2 linked regions of the Nothobranchius furzeri genome follow. The protein of the gene in region 1 interacts with the protein of each later gene in a pairwise test. Links are inferred from orthologs where the notes say so. Each region holds a gene or a part of one and is shown on either strand. Other genes may lie near its edges.

The links.
Region 2: the proteins of usp47 (region 1) and ap4m1 interact in binary tests that used the Homo sapiens proteins (3 or more experiments, as listed by UniProt). The two-hybrid records come from large-scale screens. The link is inferred for Nothobranchius furzeri from reciprocal best matches to the Homo sapiens genes USP47 and AP4M1.

The regions. Positions count from the first base shown.
Region 1 is NC_091749.1:58,085,612-58,089,866, reverse strand, and holds the start of usp47 (ubiquitin carboxyl-terminal hydrolase 47), read left to right. Parts: upstream 1-1,309; 5' UTR 1,310-1,498; coding exon 1,499-1,543; intron 1,544-3,660; exon of another isoform or gene 3,661-3,892; coding exon of another isoform or gene 3,893-3,916; intron 3,917-4,255. UniProt on the Homo sapiens protein: Ubiquitin-specific protease that specifically deubiquitinates monoubiquitinated DNA polymerase beta (POLB), stabilizing POLB thereby playing a role in base-excision repair (BER). Acts as a regulator of cell growth and genome integrity.
Region 2 is NC_091750.1:26,818,723-26,822,549, forward strand, and holds the end of ap4m1 (AP-4 complex subunit mu-1), read left to right. Parts: exon of another isoform or gene 1-92; intron 93-2,915; coding exon 2,916-3,033; intron 3,034-3,107; coding exon 3,108-3,299; 3' UTR 3,300-3,542; downstream 3,543-3,827. UniProt on the Homo sapiens protein: Component of the adaptor protein complex 4 (AP-4). Adaptor protein complexes are vesicle coat components involved both in vesicle formation and cargo selection. They control the vesicular transport of proteins in different trafficking pathways.

The sequences.
Region 1 (4,255 bases):
TCTCACGTCGTAGCTTTTTGATACTTTCAAATTAATTCAGCACACATTAAGTCACTGTGGGACTGTGAAGAACAAGCACCTTTTGGGTGAAGCGTTGCTTTAGTCAGCATAAAAAGCAAGTTATGGTAAAAATGATGACTGTGACAACCTTCCACATTTTGGTCATTTCCATTCACACAATAACAGTGGAAGAATCTTTGTGGGGGAAAAAATCTGCATTCCTTCCAGCTTCAATTAAAAAATTTACTGTTTGGATGTATTATTATTATTATTAAATGTTTCAAAAAGATGGCTTTGTTCGGGTTCACACCTTCACTTTGTTTATACTCATGATTTTATTTTCTACGTTTATCACTGCTATTGTTTTTCTGATGTTTTTATTGGTTAGAGGTATTTGCCCTGATCTTTATCATGTTGTACAGCGCTTTGTGATTTATATCTGTGAAAGGCGCTATATAAATAAACTTTTACTTACTTACTTACTTACTATTATGTATGAAAGGAAACACAAATCTGCTTTTTTGTAATGAATTTATTTTTGCTTTTGGCTAAGTTTTACGTACACAAATGCAAAGTTATGGAAACCCAGCCTCTGTTCTGTATTTTCAAAAGTAAGTTAAGCTTTATTTGCACACGTTATGTACCTCACACAATCTTAACGCTGGTAAAACAATGAAAATATGCTCTGACTCTAATATGCTGATGACTTTGCTCTGAGCTTGACAGCTTTAAATATGTGTATCTGTGTTTATCTTTGAGTATCCCAGCTCAGGTATTAATTATTACATTCTGTACTTTGACAAACCCCTGGCACTTTTTAAATAAACTTTGTCTATGTATTATGTTCCTATTAGTTTTTTGTGTTTGTTATGTTGGAAGTTGAAAATAAAGTTTATTTAAAAACATGATAGAAGCACGTTATGGAGTTGGTTAAAATAGTGATGAAGGGTCTTGTTGAGGAAACATGAATGGGTGCATTAAGTATAAAGACATGTATTGTTAAAAGTGGTGGGAACAGAAACATCCCAATATGCAGATTATTCTTTAAAATACAACAGCAGCTGTTCAGGTTTTACAATCTAACTTTTATAAATTATTTTGCACATTAAATAACTCACTTAATTTCTAACAAACTGTAATACACTTCCGTCTAGATAGAAGGTACCTGAAAGTAAATGGATCATAATCGTTTGATTATATGATATATTGGCCTGCCGTTATTGATAGAATGTGACGCCAAATCTCCTCGAGTGAAGTCTCGCGGAATAAAAACACCGGCCATTTTTCTCTATTTGTAGCAGCCAGGACAGCTTGAGTAGAGTATCGGAGAGTGTTACGATCACTTTGATAAGCGTACAACTTTTGGCAAGTGCATTTTTGGTGTCCATCCATCCAGACTTCCTACAAACTGAACACGAACCATGTTTGTGTTTACTGCTGCAAAGTTTTTTCGATGACATCCTTGTCTGGGTAGATGCTTGTCTAAACTGTCGTACAAATGGAAATGGTGCCTAGCGATGAGAACCAGTTCGTACCCAAAGAGGTGAGGTTACAACATGACCCTGTTCCGACCCCAGAGTTAGCCTCCTATCACCTTTTCGGATTATGCACATTAATTAAAGGAAAACTTTGTCACCACTTTATTTTAATGTGTCGTATCGTGGCTAACTCCAAGCTAACATACTTGAACGGCCTATCCTGACATGGCTAACCGCTAACAGTTAGCGGCTAGTTTCTTTCATCTAAAGCTTAGTGGATTTTTAAAAGCAGTTTGATATAAACAACAGCGAATGTTCTGCCATTTATCCATCACATTTAGCGTCTGATACTCCCAAACTTTAAACCTTCCTAAACGTTTGTGTTGACATTGCGTTCAAACATAGACGACATCTCAAATTTGTCAACATTTGTTAGCTAACTTGCATAACATTAGCTTGTGGGATTTGGCTATTTGACGTTGTTAGCTTTTTTAAAGCTGGTCTGATGCGACGACTCTGACATTAGATCCAGTAGTGTTTTAAAATTGACAAACCAAGCGCAAATATCTACAAAATTTATTTTGAATGACACACAGTAAAACTTGGCTTAAATCAAACGTTTATGAACGTATTTTAGTGAGCAGTTGACTCTTGACTTCCTAAGGTTCATGTGTGGTTAACGTAGAGTTTGTGCTGGTAAAATGGAAGTAGTCGAATGTGCGCCCTTTCTTCTTTAATATTCTCGGTAAACTTGCGTTTGGTGAAGATGAGGTAACATTTACTTTACTGTTTGGCGTAGTGACGAGATAAAAACACAATTTTATCTTAACAAAACGCACGCTGCTTTGTGATCGACCCTACTTTGTTGTAATCTTTCACAAAGGAGGAACTGTTTCTAGTATTTGGATGTGTTGTTGAAAGTCTGGAGGCCAACATGAATCTATTAAAGGGCTCTACTCGCATATTTGCATTCCGTTTATAGGATTCTTGAAACATCTGTCACTGTTTATTTATGTGGTTTTATTTCCTTTTCAACTTCATAAGCATAGACTCACATTTATTAGAAACACCAAGTTTTACAAAGAGCTAATTGATACACAATTATTTTTTATAAATATTCGTGCTTAACTTGCCCCTATTTGCCCACATTCATGTTAGATTAATAACGGTTTACACAAGAAGGATGACTTGTGTTTGTGTGAAGTATACTTTTAACTTTTTATACAACAACTTGGGCATATAAGGGAAATAACAAAAAAATTGTAAACAAACCGTCTTACCTGCCATATATGATCTTAGTTACCGTTGGTGGTTACTGTATCATTTTTCCACCTTGTTCCACTGAAGCATGCTTGCTTTAATCCATTTTTGGATTTAAGGAGGTTCGTGTTACCTCTGTAAGGTTAGGCAGCTTCAAATGCTCCAAATAGAGATTTAAATGACACACAGCTGTATGGAATTTTGTTACAGGACAATCTGATGATAGATTACTTTTACAGGGACAACATGGGACAATGTTGCTGTTGAGATCTTTTAAAAACTGACACTTGAGCAGGTGTTGTATATTGTCCTGACTTGAATACTTGACTGAGTGATACAGTTTGAATTTTTGCTCTAAAACAAAGTATATAGTTAATAAAGTTGGGTTTTTATTGTTATAACAGCTTTTTAGGTTTGTCGGGGTGTTTTAACGGCAGAAAATGGTTTAATTTAGAGACCAAGAAGACTTTTGGATTATACCCTCAACTCAAATAAATTATTTAAAGCATGTTCAGCTTTGATTACACATTTTCTGAGGTATAGTTTTAGCAAGTGATGTCACTGAATCAGTTTTTTCTTTATTATTCTTGTTCTCACTGTTTCTCCATCACATGATGTAGGGCATTGACCCTGATGACAAATCCACTTGAAAAAAAAACCTTGTTTCTCTGTTTCAGCTTGCTGAATTCTTGCATTGTCACCTTGTAATATGCCCGTGCATAAGAGAAGGGAAAACAAACCTTTAATGATGGAAAACTGAAATAACCGATACTACAGTGCATCTACGTTTTTAGATGTGCAAATACTGATTTGTATTTTACGTACACGACTTTGGTTTCATGTCAGCACCTTGTGATTATATCCAAGGTAAAAATAACATTTAATCTCATAATACACTCGTGTGTTGTCAGCTGCAGCTTCTTTTTGCGACCGGCCAGTCACTTTTTGCCAAGATTACAAGCTTCTCAAAGAAGCGCCGAAAACAGAAATGGCAGAAGTAATAAATTAATTCAATACTAATTCAATACTATGTTATAAGTTCCCCGTGATTCAGTATTCTTTATCCCCGATTTGATTTTTATGAGGATTGTGAAGCTTTTTTAAAAAGTGTTTTAAACTACCCTTCATTCCACCTGTCCACGTGTGATTAGGACATGTTTTGGAGGAGCAGACAGAAGGTTTGTGATGAAATTAAGAGGATTTCTCAGGTGTGTGTGTGTGTGTGTAATGTGTCCTAAAGCATGGTGTTTAACATACGCATGAAGAGCACTAGAGACAAATTGTAAAGTGTGAATTTTGTGATTAAAATTAGTTTACAATACTTGATTTTCAGTGCTGGAAGCTGGTCCATAAGTAAAATTCAAATTCTGCACCTTACCCTAATAAACGACGGCTCAGAAAATGGTCCTAAACTTCAGTGGTTGGTCCAAAGCTTACCAAGTAGCTGCTTTTCAGTATCTGCATGCCTATCTGCTACGGTGCAAATCGCAAACCAGTCGAAAAATGTGGAATGTTTT
Region 2 (3,827 bases), on another chromosome or scaffold:
AAGCTTTGATGCTCCACCTGAGAGTAAATCTGTAAGGCTTGTCACCAGCATTCAGACATTTTCTGTTTGCTTCACAGCCAGACAGGACACGGTAAATTACAAAAAAAAAAATTTAAATAAAAATTTTTTTAAAAATATTGTAAAAAAGCAACTTTTGGTTTTTGATACATTAAGGTAAAATAATACTTGAACTTTATTTTAGAAGAGCTGCCCTGTGTGAAAGTGCTGACAGGGTTGTGAGTTCAAATTCCAGTTTAGTCAGTTGTTTTATTTATTCCAGGGGTCCTCAACTACATTTGTTCAAGGTTTTTTTTCCAGCAGACACCAGTGAAGGTCAGATGCTCTTCTAAAATAAAGTTCAAACATCATTGTATCTTAATTTATTACAATTTAAAATGGCCTTGTTTCCCATCTGGGCTGTTTTAATTGTGGCTTTAGTTGTGTGTGGCGAATGAGGACCGTTGTAGATGTTTGGGACATGAAACTGTAGAGGCCCCAGAGGTGTTAGGGTTAAACAGGTTAAGGTTGGACTGACCTGCAGCAGCTCTCAGATCAGTGTTACATCACCTGGAACATCTCTGAAATGCTGACCAATAGGTCAAAGCATATAACCCTGTTACCTCCTAGGTAGGACGAAACTTTGTAACTAAATTAAATAATCATAAAAACGGTTGTATTATCAAAAAAGACTAACTGATGCAAAATCGGATAGTGCAAGATTATGGGGTACATTGAATGAAATGATGGGTAGGCATAATAGGTCAGCTCCAACTTTTTTGGATGTAGGGAGAACTTATCTCACTAAACCAACAGAAATTGCTAATTATTTAAACCAGTTTTTAACTAATAAAATTAAGTTGTTGCGAGATTCTATGGAAAATAGTCAAACCAAAAATATTTCCTACCAACTAATTAAACAAAAAATAATGTTAAATAAAAACTGCCAATTTCAATTTGATAAAGTGACTGAAGACAAGGTTAAGGAGATAATATTAAAAAGTAAAAATAAACCATCTGGCATAGATGATATTGATATTAAATGGTTAAAGTTAGTAGATTTTATTTCATGTCCTATTGTTCATATAATGAATGGAAGTTTTAAACAAGGTATTTTCCCATCTCAATGGAAAACAACAAAAATAATACCTTTAATTAAGAACAATAGAGAACCACTGTCTGGTCAAAACAGTCGACCAATAAGTTTGCTACCAGCGTTAAGTAAAATCATGGAAAAAATTGCATATGACCAAATTCAAGATAATTTTGAGGTAAATGAATTGAACACAAAATATCAACATGCTTACAAAACAAATCACTCAACCACTACTGCACTTATTCAAACAACTGATTATTGCTTAGAGAATATCGATAATAATAAGCTAATTGGTTCTATATTTCTTGATTTAATTGCGGCTTTTGATGTTTTAGATCATGAAATTTTACTACAAAAACTTAAACACTATGGATTTCATACATCTGCTCTTAACTGGACTAAAAGTTATCTTACTGACAGAGAATATCAATTTTATTTCAATGGCAGTTTTTCTGAAAAGGGTCTGATGGAATGTGGTGTTCCACAGGGAAGTTGTTTGGGACCTCTTTTGTTTTCTTTTTTTTTATGATTTTCCGTGGGTGCTGCAACATGCGACTACAGCAGTATATGCAGATGATATTACTGTTTTAGCTTCAGCACATACGGAGAGTGCACTGAATGAAATATTAAATAAAGAGTTGAGAACAGTCGAGCAGTGGATAACTGCTAACAAACTAGTGATTATTGCAGGAAAAACTAAATGCATGGTAGTTGGCTCCAAACATACTTTACAGACGATGCCAAAGTTACATTTAACTCTGAGTAACAATGTAATGGAACAACTAGAAGAAGTAAAATTACTGGGAGTAATAGTTGATTGTAAGTTATCATGGACAAGCCAGATTAATTATGTTTTACGCAAAATGGGGAGAGGTATGGGCATAATTAAATTTTGTTGCAAATTTATACCACAATATTTACTTAAATGCCTTGTTCAATCATTAGTGCTTTCTTGTGTAGATCAAGCATCTATTATTTGGTCCAGTACAAGTGAAAATAATTTGCATAAGCTACAAGTAGCACAAAATAAAGCTGCTCGTATTGTTTTAGGCTGCCCTTACAGAACGAATGTGGGAACCATGCATGAAAAACTTGCTTGGCTTGATGTGAAGAGTAGATTGAAGTATTTCTTGGTAACAACTGTGAGGAAAATAATAATTACAAAAACACCAAAAATTATACATAGCAAATTATTGTTTTTTTTTCAGATAATCATACTTATAATACACGACAGATAAATGAGATGAAAGGTGTTTTACCACGCAGTAGAACTAATCAAATTCAAGGATCTTTTCACTATAAAGCTATGATTGCATGGAATGCATTACCTAGATTTTTAATTTTTGAAAGTAATAACATTTATTTTCAGTAGAAACTGAAATTTTTTTTTGTTTACACACTTAATTGTACAGTGACTATGAACTCTGCAACGAAGGATTGAGAATCTGGGTTTGAGGTCGAATACTGGATATCGATGAGCTATGATACGAAACAATGGACATGATGTCACCATTCTGTTATATTTTATTTTCAATCTTTATTGGTGTGATTAACTCCTTTCCCGATATTAATTTATATATGTCATTTTGTTCTAGATATGTGATTTCATCTTGAGCTACTGGTATTATGTGAATTAGGGATGTGTGTGTGTGTGTGTGTGTGTTTGTAGGGTATTATCTTATGTAAACAATTGTATGAAAATGTATGAGACCCCAGGAAGACTAGCATCTGCACTTAGGCAGAAGCTAATGAGGATCTCAATAAAACGAAACGAAACCTGGGTGTGGGGGTGTCAACTGTAAACCGTGTGTCGTTGGTTCAGTTTGTCTCAGGAGCTCAGTAGTCCAGACCAGAGAGCCGAGCTGAAGCTGCAGAGCAGAGCCGTGGTCTGGGAGGTCCCCCGCTTCCCTGGAGGGACTCAGCTATCAGCTCTGTTCAAGGTGGTTCCAAAAGTCACACACACACACACACCTAGGTGTCCTGGTGCTAACAGAACCATTGTCTCCCTCCTCAGCTGGAGGTTCCAGGTCTGAGTTCGGCTTCCATGTTGGAAGTGGGTCCAGTCGGTCTGAGCTTTGAGCTTCCGAAGTTCACCGCCACTGGGCTTCAGATCCGCTTCCTGCGACTGTCTCCAGTCCAGCCTGGCCCACTGCAGCGCTGGGTCCGCTACGTCACCTGTTCGGATTCCTACACCATCCGGATGTGAAGGTGTCTCCGCAGGACGCAGTGACAGACGGAGCGGTCCCAGATATGCTGGACTTGTTTAATGACTCTTGTTTCTCCTGTGAATAAACGTGAGTTGTAATGCTGCCGACGGCCGTGTTCCTGTGGGGTTCATGCTGAGTAAGCCCCGTTGGTTCTGCTCACTGATCTGTTCCACTTCTCTTTAGGCTGGAAATGATTCACTGTGATCTTGTTTGTGAGCAGATTAAAGTTCATCCTCGCTCAACAGTGTCTGTTTTCCTCTGAGGAACAGCAGGAAGGAGGTTCTGCTGCTGACCAAGGGAACTGGATCAGCCCTGAACTTCCTGTAGTAAAACTTTAAATTCCAAGGTCAAAGTTCACACTGATGGTGTGTGGAACTGAGCAGCTCCAAAAACAGCAGCTGGAGGGCCTCGGGTCAGCTGAGTAGAACCAGAACTACAGAGTAACTTTCCCAGGTTTGAGATTTATTAACAAAAGTTTTCCTCTTTCATTTTTATTCAGTTCAATTCAGTTTATTTCCATAACAACA